2 linked regions of the Cricetulus griseus genome follow. The protein of the gene in region 1 purifies or fractionates together with the protein of each later gene. This does not show direct contact. Links are inferred from orthologs where the notes say so. Each region holds a gene or a part of one and is shown on either strand. Other genes may lie near its edges.

Region 1 (7,739 bases):
GCTTGGTCATGGTGTCTCTTCACAGCAATAAAAACCCTATCTAAGACACCTGGTGAAAAGGTGATGGTCCTACAGCCTGGGAGTCCCTGAGATCCTATAGATGACAAGTCAGTGTCTGGGCTGGTACTTGGCACCAAGAAGCCTGCGCTATGTTTCAGTGACCCAATGAGACATGAACCACAAAGACCTGGGCCCAGATTCTGGCTGGGCTCATCCTTCAGAACACTTGCTTTTCATCAGTAAGTGGGGGACATCTGCTGCAGAGTTTGAGACAATCATAAGAGTGAGGGAACAATACAACATGCCTGCCTTGATGCCTTCAACCAGGGAATGGGCATCAGCCTTAACACTCCCATCACAGCCGTTCTGTCACCTGGCACAAAGGAGTGGGACTCAGCTTTTAACACCCCAATCACACACTGACTGGGGCTTAAGGTTTTTTCCCAATCATGGCTATAGGCAAGTTCATGTGCATTCATTGACCACCCCACAGGAAGAATCCTCCTTTTCTGCCTTTCACCTGGGACAAGCCAGCTTCTGCCTAGCTCACAAATACAACCAACTCCCAGAACACAAAATACTTCCTTCCTCCATGCTACCTTCCCACCCACACAGACTTCTCGTGTCCTTCTTACCACTGGACATGGAGTTCTACTCACCCACACTGCAAGGTCCCAGCTGTCCCAGCAATGTCTCCACAGGGGCTAGCACACAGCAGATTGTTGAACACATGCCAGTGGATAAAGGAATGAATGCAAGATACAGCAATCTGCACACAGGGCATGGTTCGCCTGTGGATGTCAATTGTCATCCCCTAGGCACAAGAACCTTCTCCACTGGTTCCTCTTACTACATTCAAAACCATGTAAGCTGGCATGAGCCCTACTTCCCCTGTGGAGGAGCTGGTCATCTCAAACTGCCTCCTCTGTGGCAGTTTAATGTCTTTAGAGCTGGGTGACAAAATTGATGCCTCATCTACCAAAGGCTCTAGTCATTCTGAACCTCTGTATGTCTACATGTTTATATTCACATATTCCAGAGGCCCTGCATCATTCAACCAGCAGAGCCCACCACAGTGCAGCAGCTGTCTGGAGGCTCTGAGCACCCTGGCAGGCCTGATCTGTGTGTGTTGCTGAGGTTCACCTCTTTCCTTAATCAACCTCCCTACTATGGTATCATCCTTTCTGGGACTTCTCTGTGGTACAGATCCCAACTAGATCCTGTGTAAAGCTTTCTGGTAGTACCACACCACCAACTGTACCAGTAAGCCTGGTCTCTACCTACATTACTTAAGGCTTTTAGTGCTGTAGTGGAGGCCCCAGAATATAATCACACCTAGCCATCATGGCCAAAGCTATAGAATTCTTGGCAAGCAGCTTAGATTCTCACAGTTGCTGTCTTTCAGCTGCAAACTAAGAACATTAAATTCACCCCCACAGTGATGCTTGTGCAAGTCAGATGACTTGCATACATAAAGGATACAGTATAGAGCTAGTACAGGCTCTACACAGGTCCAAACTGGGACATACTCTGTGTAATAGCATGCAAGCTCAGAACAGAACCACATATCTAAGCTGTGGTGCCTCTGAAGGAATAAAGCAACCGGTCTAGGAGAGCACAGATAGCAGAGTCACAGAGCCTCCTCTTTCTGTGTGAGGATCAGTGGTTGCATCTCTCAGACCGGCCCTGAGACTCTTGCTGCTTCAGCAGGTAGCAGTCCATGAACTACACACAGGCAGCCAAGTCCCAAGACTCTTCCTCTTGAGCTTTACTTCTTCCAAAGCTGAGCCTGGACCTCATGAGAACCTGCATCTTGACTCAAGTTCCTCTGGCCTTAAAGCCTGAAAGTGCTGCTTCAGAAGAGGCCTTCCCATCCAGCCTGTTTATTCATCCACATTTTACATGCTTCCATGCCTGGGTGCTATGTGCTTCTGACTGTGCTACACCAATGCAGCACAAACACTAGTTGAGGTGCGGACTCTACAGCCCAAGATTTCCTTTCTTTTCTTTAGCAAAATAAAATATAATAAGATAGAATAAAAACCATCACATCGAAGTTGGACAAGTCAAACCAATGAAGAAAAAGAGCCCCAAGAGAAGTGACAAGAATCAGCGACCCACTCGTTCACATACTCAGGAGACCCATAAAAATACTAAACTGAAAGCTATAATATAAATGCAGAGATGTGGTACAGACCCATGTTGGCCCTGTGCTTGCTGCTTCAGTCTGTGAGTTCACATGAGCTGTGCTCACTTGATTACAAGGGCCTTGTCTCTTTGTGTCCTCTTCCCCCCTCTGGCTCTTACACTCTTTCTGCCTCTTCTTCCACTTGGTATAGCCAGCCCAGTTTCAGGAGATAAAACAAGGTCAGCAGTGGGCTCCCCAAAACTAACACTCTCACTCTTTTCAGTGGCTACTCTAGAGATAGTGCTGGAGGAATGATGTGAGGAAGAAACGTCTCTCTGAAGCAATGACACATAAGGACAAAGATCAGTCAGTAGTCTTGACTAGGGTGAAAGCACTGTAGGCAGAAGAAAGGAAAACTCATCAAGAGAGTAAGCATGAGATCACAGGGAACCATAGATGTTGTCAGGCCTTGCAGGCATTGTAATGTAATCTAAGTAGAACTGGAAGTTGCTGAGAGCCAAAGAGATACAGCTTATGTTTCAAAAGACCTGTGTTGGTGTGTGAGAAGAGCTATAGAACACAAGGAGAAAGCAGGTAAACCATGAGATGTTAAAACAGTAAGAGGTAAATGTCAGCGTGGTTCAGACCAGAATTAGCAGCTACATTCGGCACATTTTTAAAAATAGATGACAGCTAAACAACTAGATGTAGATGAAGGTTTTAAGTTGACTCTGTAGCTGAGCACAAAGTGAGGCTGGGTCACCATGGGCAATGATATAGAGAGGAATGGATGTCATCAGGTAGAGACAAGCTAGAGGAACAGAACAAACGAATGCAACATTTTCAGTTCTGAGGCTCTTCTTCAGGGTGTTTCATGCTGCCTGATCTATACAAATCAAATGCTCAATATACACCAACAACACCACTTATAGGCAAAGCAACCAGATGTTTTTGGAGAGCAGGAGTCAAGGTGTTGGCCATCAGGAAAGTATCTGTAAAGTAGAATCTTTCCTAGGTGGGGGAGGTGGGTCCAAAAGGTCACTCACTGCATATGATGACCTGGAATAGTAAGGCAGTATGGCTGGAGTAGGGAAGCTTAGAGAAGCAGTACCCAACCATACCGGGAAAGAGTCTGGACAGAACAGGGTCATACTTAGCTCCCTTTTCTTTGAAAGCCTGAAGATACTATATGTGCCTGGCGGTAATGGTGACAAAGACAGAGTTCTTCCCTAATAAAGGTGAGGAATAGAAGGAAAGCTCCTTAGAGATCCCTAGAGAACAACCAGGAGACCAGCACACTATCTGGCTGGCACACCAAAGCTCCTGCCACCAGCAAGACACATCTACTGAAACCTGACAGCTAGAAAGCAGACTCCTGGTTACATGCCTCCTCACTGAGAGGCCTTTGTTCATTCTTTACTGGCCACCTCTCACACTATGTCCTGGGTGCTGTAGAGAGCAAGAATTAAACAAGGCACTGCTACCCACGGAGAACCCTAGCTCAGGTCACATGCTGACACCCACAGAAAGCACTCGAAGCCCTGAATGCAGACTAAGTGCATGCGGGATGGGCAGCCCAGGCTTCTAGCCTTCCTCATCACTGTGCCCAGGAGAACCCAACCCTACCAGGGAACTCAGAAGGGACAGCAGGGTCTCGATTGCTGCCATCTGGCTCGAGTAGAAGCTTGGCAAGGTACAGGGCCTGCCCTCCGCCTGCGTTCAATGCACACATTCTGAGGACGAGTGTGAAGGGCAGACAGCTCGGTGTAGGGGCCACGGGTCAAGGCTCTGCTCTACCAGCTGTGTAGCCATGGGCGCCCAGCATTCTCTGGGCGATCCCGTCCGGCCACCTGCGGCCCGCCGCAGCGTGCACCAAACCAGCCAGCCATGCCTTCCTTCTAGTCAGGGCCCGCCGCTCACCCAGTTGCCGAAGCCGAACTGCTCGATGGCGTCCAACAGCAGCTGCTCCTCGCGGCTGGTCCAGCCGCCCTCCGCCTCAGGCCCCCAGAGAGTGAATCGTCCACCGTCCACCAGCTGGTAACCGTGGTAGCGGCGGTGGTGGCCGATCTCCGCGCCAGCCGAGAAGCACTCGGGGCACAGCTCGATGTCCTGGCACTCGGTGCAGCGGAAGCGCAGCGGGCTCACCTCGGCCAGGCAGTACACGCAGTACTTCTTACCCAGCTCCGCCATCTTCCCCCGCTCGCCCGCCGCCCGGCCCGCAGTCGCCGCGCCTCCGGCCGTCAGCGCCCCGCCGCCTGTCGAGCCCACTGCGCCCACCGCGCCCGCGCTGCTGCCGGCCGCTGCCACGGCCGTCCCCGCCCAGGCGCCGCCGGAGCCCGCCAGGCGGGCCGCGTCCCGCCTCAGCACGCAGGCGCCCTCCGGCCCGGCCCGGCAGCCGCCGCCGTCGCCGCCGTCTCCCCGCCGCATCGCGCAGGCGCCCCGCGCGCGCCCTCTTGCGGGCAGCCGAGCCTCCGATCTGCGCCTGCGCGCCGCTGCCTCCCTCCGCCTCATGGACTCACGAAGCCGTAAGGCCCCGCCCCAAACCTGACAGCCGGCAAGGCGCAGACCGGAAGCCGGTCTGCTGCGCCACACCTCTCAAGAGACAGTGTCCAATCAGCGCTTACATTCACCTGTTCGTTGTCCTTCATTGGCTTAATATTGCTGGGAGGCGGAGAGAAAAGGAAGGCGGACGACCAATCGCGGGGCCCACCGCGCGCGCCCTGGTTGCCCCGGGAAACCTAACAGCAGGCGGCCGCGGTCCTCAGACCTGAGACTGCGGGTCGAGCATGGACAGCCACGACGGGGATACCGAGGGCGAAGGAGGAACTGAGGAAGCCCCGACCAGGCAGTCGTCCGAGACCAAGGTCAGCTCCGAACCTGAACCTCAGACCCCGGCCGACCCTGCGGAGCCGGAGCCAGAGCCCGGGCCGGAGCCGGAGCCGGAGCCGGAGCCGGAGCCGGAGCCGGAGCCGGAGCCGGAGCCAGAGCCAGAGTCTGAGGCGGAGACCCAACCTGTTGCGGACGACACTGAAGCAGAGGTTTTGGAGGGGAGTGATGACGCTCATGTCGAGGAAAGTCTGGAGGCCGCTACGGCTGCGAGCGAGACAGCAGAGGCTGCGAGCGAGGCCGTGTCCCGAGAGCCAGAAAGTCTGTCAGAGCCGCATCCCGAGACCGAGCGGGAGTTCCAGGAGGGGGACGAAGACGAAGACGAGGATGAAGACGAGGACGAGGACGAGGATGAGGAACCCGCCGGGCGGGAGAAGCAGGACAAGGTGAAGAAGGTGAAGAGCAAGGAGTCACGGTTCCGGCCCTCCCTGCCACTGACCACGATCGTCGAGGAGGCGGCTGCTCCAGCCCCACAGGCTGAGAAAGAGAAAGCAAAGGAGTCAGAGCAGAAGCGAGGTAGCGAGGAGATCCGGGCGACAGGTCGAGAACAACACAAGAAAAGCAAAGAGGATGAGGACATGGAAGAGGAAGACAATGAGGACTTCGAAGACTTTGAGTGGTCTGCAGATGTTCGGAAGCTGCAAGAGGAGCAGCTGCGCGGTGAGCTAGTGAACCAGTACCACACCCTGCTGTTGGAGCGGAACCGGTACCAGCGCTACAATATGTACCTACAGCAGAAGATCTCCGAGACGCTACGAAAGAAGGGCCTGGAAGCAGCTGAACCTGTGGACAAGAGTGCGGAACCAGATTCTCCCGAGAAAGAGCAAGCATACTTGCGTTATCTGGCCATGCTGGAGGAACTGAAAAAACAAGAGGCGGACGACCTACAGTGGTACCGTCAGGAGGTGCGTGAGATGAAGCATCAGTGCCAGGAGAAGCAGGCCAGGGTGGAGAAAGAGTGGCGGCGCTTCCAGGCCCTCAAGAAGCAGGTGGTGATGCAGGTAATGGGCAGCTGCCGCATGCGCGGTGGACGCCAAGCGGCTCTGAGAGAGGTGGAACAGATCCAGGCGCTGGAGGATAAAAAAGAGAAGGAGATGAGCGCATTGCGTCTCGAGAACGTGCAGCTGAAGCAGAGCCTGGTACACTTTGAAACTAGGATGAAGGCCCAGGAAGATTTGGCTGAGGGGCTGCTCCTCATCGACTTTGAACAGCTCAAAATTGAGAACCAGACCTTCAACGAGAAAGTCGAGGAACGAAATGAGGAACTTCTAAAACTGCGCAATAAGGTGACCAGCAACGTGCAGATTATAACCCACGTGAAGGAAAAGCTGTCTTTCATAGACATGGAGAACTCATGCAAAAAGGCACAACTTTTGGAAATTGAAGCCCAGGTGGCTCTGGGAAGAGATCTATTGACAAAGACGAAGCAAACCCGAGACAGCTTGCGAATTGACAACATCAAACTGAATCAGAAAAGTGGGCTTCTGGGTAAGGAATCACTCCTCCGAGACTTAGAAGAAAAGGTGGATAAGACAGAATTTCTCAACAAGCGCCTGGAATCCCTGAAGCGCCATCATGCAGGGCTCACCTTGTCCTGCAAAGGGGTGAAGCAAAAGATCAGGGAGGCCAAAATGTTCCTCCCCTCTTGACAGTCGTTGACAGGACAGCTGGCAAAACCTCCAAAACTCTAGAAACTTTGTCCCCCACTCTCTTCTGCCCTCCCATTTTCATTCTATATGACTTGGGATGCAACTTTTTTTTGTCATTTCCAGCTTCCAAATTCCTCCTGAACACATCAGTTAGTAGTAGTTCTACATGAGGTTAAGTAAAATATATGGAGAGAGAGAGAGAGAGAGAGAGAGAGAGAGAGAGAGAGAGAGAGAGAGAGAGAGAGAGAAGAGAGAGAAGAGAGAGAGAGAGGCGAGGAGAGGAGAGGAGAGGAGAGGAGAGGTGGTTAAACCGACTAATGATGAAAAGCCTTCCTAGCCAAGCAGTCCCATAGTCTAGAAGAGTGTTAGAACTGTTCCTTGTTTAACCAGTAGCCAAAGTACAGAAAATCCCTGTGCATTGGTCTGATCACTCAGTCATCTTTGTACTAATTAAATTGTATAATCTTGAATCACTGTCTCAATTAGCTCCCAAATTCTCTTCATCTCTCTTCATCTCATCTGTGGGTGTTTGTGGGCATGTGGAGGCCAGAACATACCAGTATTTCTTGCTCTTCACCTTGATTTTTTGAGACAGGGTCTCTTACTCAACCAGGATCTTGCAGTTTGGTTTAGACTGCCCAGCTGGCATGACAATCTTAGGATCTGCCTGTCTCTGTTGCCCAACACAGGGGTTATTGAAATGCAAGGCCAAGTCTGGCTTTTTATATGGGTGCTGGGGATTTGAATTCAGATTCTCATGCTTTCAAACAAACACTCTTTCTTACCTTCTGAGCCATAACCTGCATCAGCAATCTGGCTGTTGGCACTACATAACCCTACTTCCTTTAGATGACACAATTTTGTTTGCTAAAGTATATTGGCTTTGAAGTCAATGAAAGTTAAAATCCCTTTTCTGACTTCCATGGCTAGAACACACTTTACATAAGACCATTCAAATGCATAACTGAGAATAGCTCAAAAATTGATTTCTCCCATCTACTTCCTCCCCTTAGTTGCTGCAATTTTGATTTTCCCTCTACCCTGTCCATCAAGACTGTAGCAAAGCAGTAAATTGC
Region 2 (5,762 bases), on another chromosome or scaffold:
GCCCAGATGTGGAGGATGAAAGAAAGGAGGGAAAAGTGCCTGGCATGGTGGTACATGCCTTTATTCTCAGCACTCTGTGTGAGTTCAAGGCCAACCTAATGTACATATTGAGTTCAGGATAGCTGAGGCTTTTAACACAGAGAAACCCCTGTCTGGAAAAGCCAAAAAAAAGCCATGTTATTTGATCTCATCTGGCAGAGTAGTAGGCAGCCACATGGTATGGGAGGGGTATTAAAAAAATAAGGAAGTCCAAATGATTAGAAAAAGCATACTTAGTTTCTAGCCAGCATTTAAAAATAATAGTGCTAAAAACAAAACAAATAAAAAGGTGTTTTTGGCACACATACCTTTAATACCAGCAGAGGCAGGCAGATCTCTGATCTCTGATCTCCAGGCCAGCCTGGTCTACAGAGCAAGTTCCAGAACAGCCAAGGCTACACAGAGAAACCCTGTCTTGAAATACCAAAGAAACAAAAAATTCTGTTGGATTAAACTGAACTTTTATGTGCTGATTTACCTCAATCTGGCCTTGACTTGCTTTGTAGCTGAAGGTAATCTTGAATCTCCTACCTCCTGAGTGCTGGCATGCTAGGTCTATAGGCATCCACCATCACACCTAGTTTATGCGGTGCTGGGATCAAACCTAGGGCTTACAGCATGTTAGTCAACCACTCAACCAACTCAGCTACATCTTTGCTCCTTTTGAAAAAAATCCTTATTTTTGTGATTGTATAAGTGCATGATGTGTGTGTTTGGGTGTTTGCTATAGCAGGTGTGTGGAGGTCAGAGGAGATAGCAACTTTGTAGTTAGTTCTGTGTTTTAACTTTACCTGGGTTCAGGGGATTGAACTCAGGTCACCAGGCTTGTATAGCAAGTGCCTTTACATATGGGCCCTCGATGCTTTTTTGTTATTGTTTATTGTTATTAAAAATAATTTATTTTTTATTTTTATGTGTATTGGTGTTTTGCTTTCGTGTCTGTGTGAAGGCATTGTCCCTTGGAACTGGAGTTACAGACAGCTGTGAGCTGCTATGTGGGTGCTGTAAAGTGAACCCTGGTCTTCTGAAAGAGAATTATCACATATACAGTGGTCTGCCTATAGGCCAGAAGAAGGCACCAGATTGAATTGTAGATGGCTGTGAGCCACCATGTGGTTGCTGGGAACTGAACTCAGGACCCCTGAAGAGCAGTCAGAGCTCTTAACCTCTGAGCCATCTCTCCAGCCCCTTATTCTAACAGGGTGTCCTAGAACTTGCTCTGTGGACCAGACTTAAAGTGAAGACCAGGCTGGTCTCAAACTTGGAATTAGACTTATGAATGCTCTTAAACCTCAAAATTTTGCTAATTATTTTTTTATGATTGAGGTCACTTTTCTGAGTGTATATTGATGCCTGTAAATTTTAGCAAGATGTTTCAGTGTCTTTCATAGTTATTTAAAATGTAATCCCCGTTTCTTTTTTGTCAGTAACATTTTTCCTAGGAATTTGACAGGTGGTTAGCATTTTCAAAAGTTCATGCTCCGTGGGTGAGTGATCCAAGTCTACCTTACATGTCAAAGACCATCTCAAATATAATAGCTTTGGCAGGGTTTTGTTTAGTCCACCTGATAACTACTCAATTTAAAACTGTACAGTCAAAGCCATGTGTGGTAGTACACTGCCTATAATCCCAGAGTCTGGGCTCCCAGCAAGCTCATTTCAATAAGGTGTCTTGATTGTTTTTGTGCAGCTCCTGTTTCTCTAGTAAGAACAGCACTTTCCCGCCAATTGTGTTCACTAGCAGTCTACAAACAATTTCTGTCATAATGATTTAATTATGTCATATTAGCCCACTGTAAAAGGCTAATATAATTTTTTTTTCGAGACAGGGTTTCTCAGTGTAGCTTTGGAGCCTATCCTGGCACTTGCTTTTTAGACCAGGCTGGCCTCGAACTCATAGAGATCCGCCTGCCTCTGCCTCCCGAGTGCTGGGATTAAAGGCGTGCTCCACCAACGCCCGGCCAGTAATGGATTTTTTTATATTGCCTGTATTTGTATGTCTTTATCCTTCATGCCTACCAAAAGATTGTACATATAGTAGATCCCAGAGAATCGATGGATATCTATCTCAATGAGAGAACTGAGGACTGAGCCCGACAACATTCCAAGTGGGTCTTTTGTGGGAAAGGTTACTCAAGAGGGCATATAGAACGAGGTTGCTTACTGTATTCCTTTTTTCCCTTGTAGGCAGTAGAACGAGTCCTGTACCCACATCTGCCCACATACTGGACAAACCTGCAGGCGGTGCTGGATGACTATTCCGTATCTAATGCCCAAGTCAAAGCAGATGGGCACAAAGTCTATGGAGCGATTCTGGTGAGTAGCGAGGCCCAGCTTCCCTTTCTTACAGTAGCTCAGCAGGTTTACTTTGAGATGCCTGCTGGTCCAGGTTTCTTCTAGCTCTTTGTTTACAGGTGGCCGTAGAGCGACTACTGAAGATGAAAGCCCAGGCAGCAGAGCCCAGCCGCGGTGGCTCTGGCGGGAGACTGTGCCATCGTGCGGAGGACTTGCCTTGGGACAGCCTTCTCCTCCAAGAGTCTCCTCCGGGGGGCGGCGCCGAACCAGGCTTTGGGTCTGGTCTCCCGCTGCCGCCAGGAGGCGCGGGGCCAGAGGACCCTTCTTCCTTGACCCTGGCAGACATCTACCGTGAGTTGTACGCCTTCTTCGGTGACAGCTTGGCCACTCGCTTCGGCACTGGCCAGCCCACGCCCACGGCCCCGCGACCACCCGGAGACAAGAAGGAGCCAGTGGCCGCCCCGGACTCGGTGCGGAAAATGCCGCAGCTGACCGCTAGCGCCGTGGTCAGCCCGCAGGGGGACGAGAGCCCGCTCGGCGGAGGCCCGGCGGCCGCCTCCACCGCTTCGGAGAGCAGGCCGCTGCCGCGCGTGCACCGGGCGCGGGGCGCTCCCCGTCAGCAGGGGCCCGGCGCGGGCACGCGAGACGTCTTCCAGAAGAGCCGCTTTGCGCCCCGCGGCGCCCCGCACTTCCGATTTATCATCGCTGGGCGTCAGGCCGGGCGGCGCTGTCGCGGGCGCCTCTTCCAGACTGCTTTCCCCGCGCCCTACGGGCCCAGCCCGGCCTCCCGCTACGTGCAGAAATTGCCCATGATCGGCCGCACCGGCCGCCCGGCCCGACGCTGGCCGCTCTCGGACTACTCGCTGTACCTGCCGCTGTGAGGCTGCCGCCCCTCCAAGAATAAATCCGCACCAGGAAGTGACGTGTCTGTGCTCGTGGGCGGGGCTTGGGCGGTTGGCTTCCTGGTGTCCTGTGCGCCATGGCGCTCACCTGGTTGCAGCGAGTTGAGCTCGCGCTCTTCGCTGCCGCCTTCCTGTGCGGTGCTGTGGCGGCCGCGGCAGTGACCAGGACCCAGGTGCGGCTGCGGGGCGGGCCAGCCTTGGGGCCGAGCAGGCTGGCTCTGGGGACTGGCCGCGGTAGCTTCACCGAGCTAGGGACTGAGAAGTCCCAAACTTGTTTGCTTGCCAGAGGAGCTGGACACGCAGAGCCTATTCGAGTCCAAGATAAACCGGTTAATAAGTTTACTTGGGTGCTGGGACACACAGGCCCAGTCTTTGCATTCACCCAATGCACAAATAGAAACATTTGTGCAAAAAAAAGTAGTATAGTGGAGTGATCAAGGTACCGCAAGATTGTAGTCCGGTGTGTGAAGTGAGGGAACGTATACACTTAGGTACACCAGGTTTATTATTGTTGGACAGTCTTGGTCAAAGAATACTTTGAGTCACTATAAGAGTCTAGGACGCCTTCTTTTACAGGCTAGGGAAGCTGTTAAAGGGCACACAAGGTCAGGACTTTCTCTAGAATCTCTGTTCACGGGGACAGATCAAACTTGCGATTTCTCTTGGGTTTATGTTTTGTATTTCGAGACAGGTTTCTCTGTGTAGCCCTGGCAGTCCCCTGTAGATCAGGCTGGCCTCAAAATAACGAGATCCACTTGTCTCTGCCTCCCAGTGCTGGTATTAAAAGGTGCACCACCACCCCACCACTACTGCTCGGCTCTTGAGGGTTTTTTTTTTTTTTGCGGGGGGGGGGGGAGGAAGATAGAGACAGGGTTTCTCTGTAGCTTTGGAGCCTGTCCTGGAAACCAGCTTAGCTTTGTAGACCAGGCTGGCCTCGAGGTCCGCCTGAGTGCTGAGAAAAATGTGCCCCCACCACCACCCTGCTTCTCTTGCCTTTATATTGTAACCCACTGAATTCTGACCCCCCCTCTGGGCCCTGCAGACTTGGTTCCCAGCAGATCCACATCAGTCTATCCCTCCATTTCACCTATTTGTGAACTCACCCTCACATCTGGCAGTAACCTGCAAATGGGGGCATTGAAGTGGAACCAAGGACTCAACAGCTTCTCTCCACAGGGCTCCTTCGGTGGTAGCTGCCCCTTGTATGGTGTGGCTGCCCTCAATGGCTCCTCTCTGGCCTTGTCACATCCCTCAGCCCCCTCTCTCTGCCACTTTGTATCCCGGGCTTCAGGCCTCTTGGCCCTCTACTGCCTTCTGCTTCTCCTCTTCTGGGTCTACAGCAGCTGCATCGAGGATTCCCACAGGTAATGACCCTACTGAGGACAAGGGGCTCAGGTGAGATGAGTCCCATCTAAGCTACAAAGCTTGTTTTCTATCCCTCAGAGGTTCCATAGGGCTCCGAATTGCTTTGGCCATCTCAGCTATTGCCATCTTCCTGATATTAGTGTCTGCCTGTATACTTCGATTTGGCACCAGTTCTCTCTGCAATTCCATCATCTCCTTGAACCATACAATTAGGTAATGGGAGAGGGAGGGGATTCCGGCAGGGACTATTTCCCTCTATAAGGTACAAGTTTCCATGTTTCTCCTCATCCTTTGGCCCTTATCTCTAAGAACACAAATGTGCTTAGAGTATGTTTCCTTTCTCAGAACTCTCTCTCTACCCCACAGTTGCTCTGAAGCCCAGAAATCCTCATGGACACCCCCTGGAACTGCTGTGCAGTTTTACTCCAACCTACAAAACGCTGAAGTGAGACAAAGGGATATACTAAGATTAAATATCTGTAGCTTAAGAGTGTTCACCATGTAATATATGCTTGCTTGTAAAGCTCAAAGAAGCATGGGCTTGTCTCTTGAGTCTGGACAGAGCACATTGTGTGGGTAGGACTGAATTGGAAATAGCTTCCTTCCTCACACTCCTGTTCTCTTCTCTCACAGACCTCTTCTTGGGTGAATCTGGTACTGTGGTGTCTGGCCTTGATGCTCCAGGTCGTGCAGTGCAAGTCAAGTCACCCCAGAGCACAGCTCTGAGACCAGTGCTCTTATTGGGTAATGCCTGTCTTACTCCTGAAAAATACTCAGTACTTTCTGCCGCCAGAATCTCCGTGCTCAAGAGCTTTTAATCTTCTTGTCTCAATACAGCCCTATTTGTACTGAGAACCACATTTTTCCCTCCAGGAGGGAAACTAGAATAAGTCCCCTCTGCTTTTTCACCTTAACATTTTTTTTGTACCAAAATAATATATTACTTTTCTTCATCATTGTATAGAGTTCTTGGTGTTAAAGCAAATAGATGGGAGAGAAGACAGAATGATGGCTTTAAGTGCATCAGGCCCTTTAGAAGACAAATTTATTGGCTATTAGTGAATCCGGGGTACCTTTTCTTGCCCTGGGTTGTCTCCTCATCTGAGATGGGCAAACCACTTTTCATAGGCTCCGATAGGCACCCACAGTGTTATCAAAGAG

What was found. The genes of interacting proteins can lie anywhere in the genome.
Region 2: the proteins of Tada2b (region 1) and Taf6l purify together in Homo sapiens (affinity purification with mass spectrometry; 3 studies listed by BioGRID and IntAct, counting the BioPlex papers as one, with this or other methods). This does not show direct contact. The link is inferred for Cricetulus griseus from reciprocal best matches to the Homo sapiens genes TADA2B and TAF6L.

The regions. Positions count from the first base shown.
Region 1 is NW_023276807.1:105,485,593-105,493,331, forward strand, and holds the start of Tada2b (transcriptional adapter 2-beta), read right to left. Parts: upstream 4,403-7,739; 5' UTR 4,319-4,402; coding exon 4,049-4,318; intron 1-4,048. Other genes in the region: Ccdc96 (coiled-coil domain-containing protein 96), read left to right, coding at 4,915-6,663. UniProt on the Homo sapiens protein: Coactivates PAX5-dependent transcription together with either SMARCA4 or GCN5L2.
Region 2 is NC_048596.1:51,317,963-51,323,724, forward strand, and holds the end of Taf6l (TAF6-like RNA polymerase II p300/CBP-associated factor-associated factor 65 kDa subunit 6L), read left to right. Parts: intron 1-2,226; coding exon 2,227-2,355; intron 2,356-2,453; coding exon 2,454-3,215; 3' UTR 3,216-3,256; downstream 3,257-5,762. Other genes in the region: Tmem179b (transmembrane protein 179B), read left to right, coding at 3,314-3,409, 4,413-4,600, 4,680-4,814, 4,968-5,046, 5,235-5,327; Tmem223 (transmembrane protein 223), read right to left, coding at 5,724-5,762. UniProt on the Homo sapiens protein: Functions as a component of the PCAF complex. The PCAF complex is capable of efficiently acetylating histones in a nucleosomal context. The PCAF complex could be considered as the human version of the yeast SAGA complex.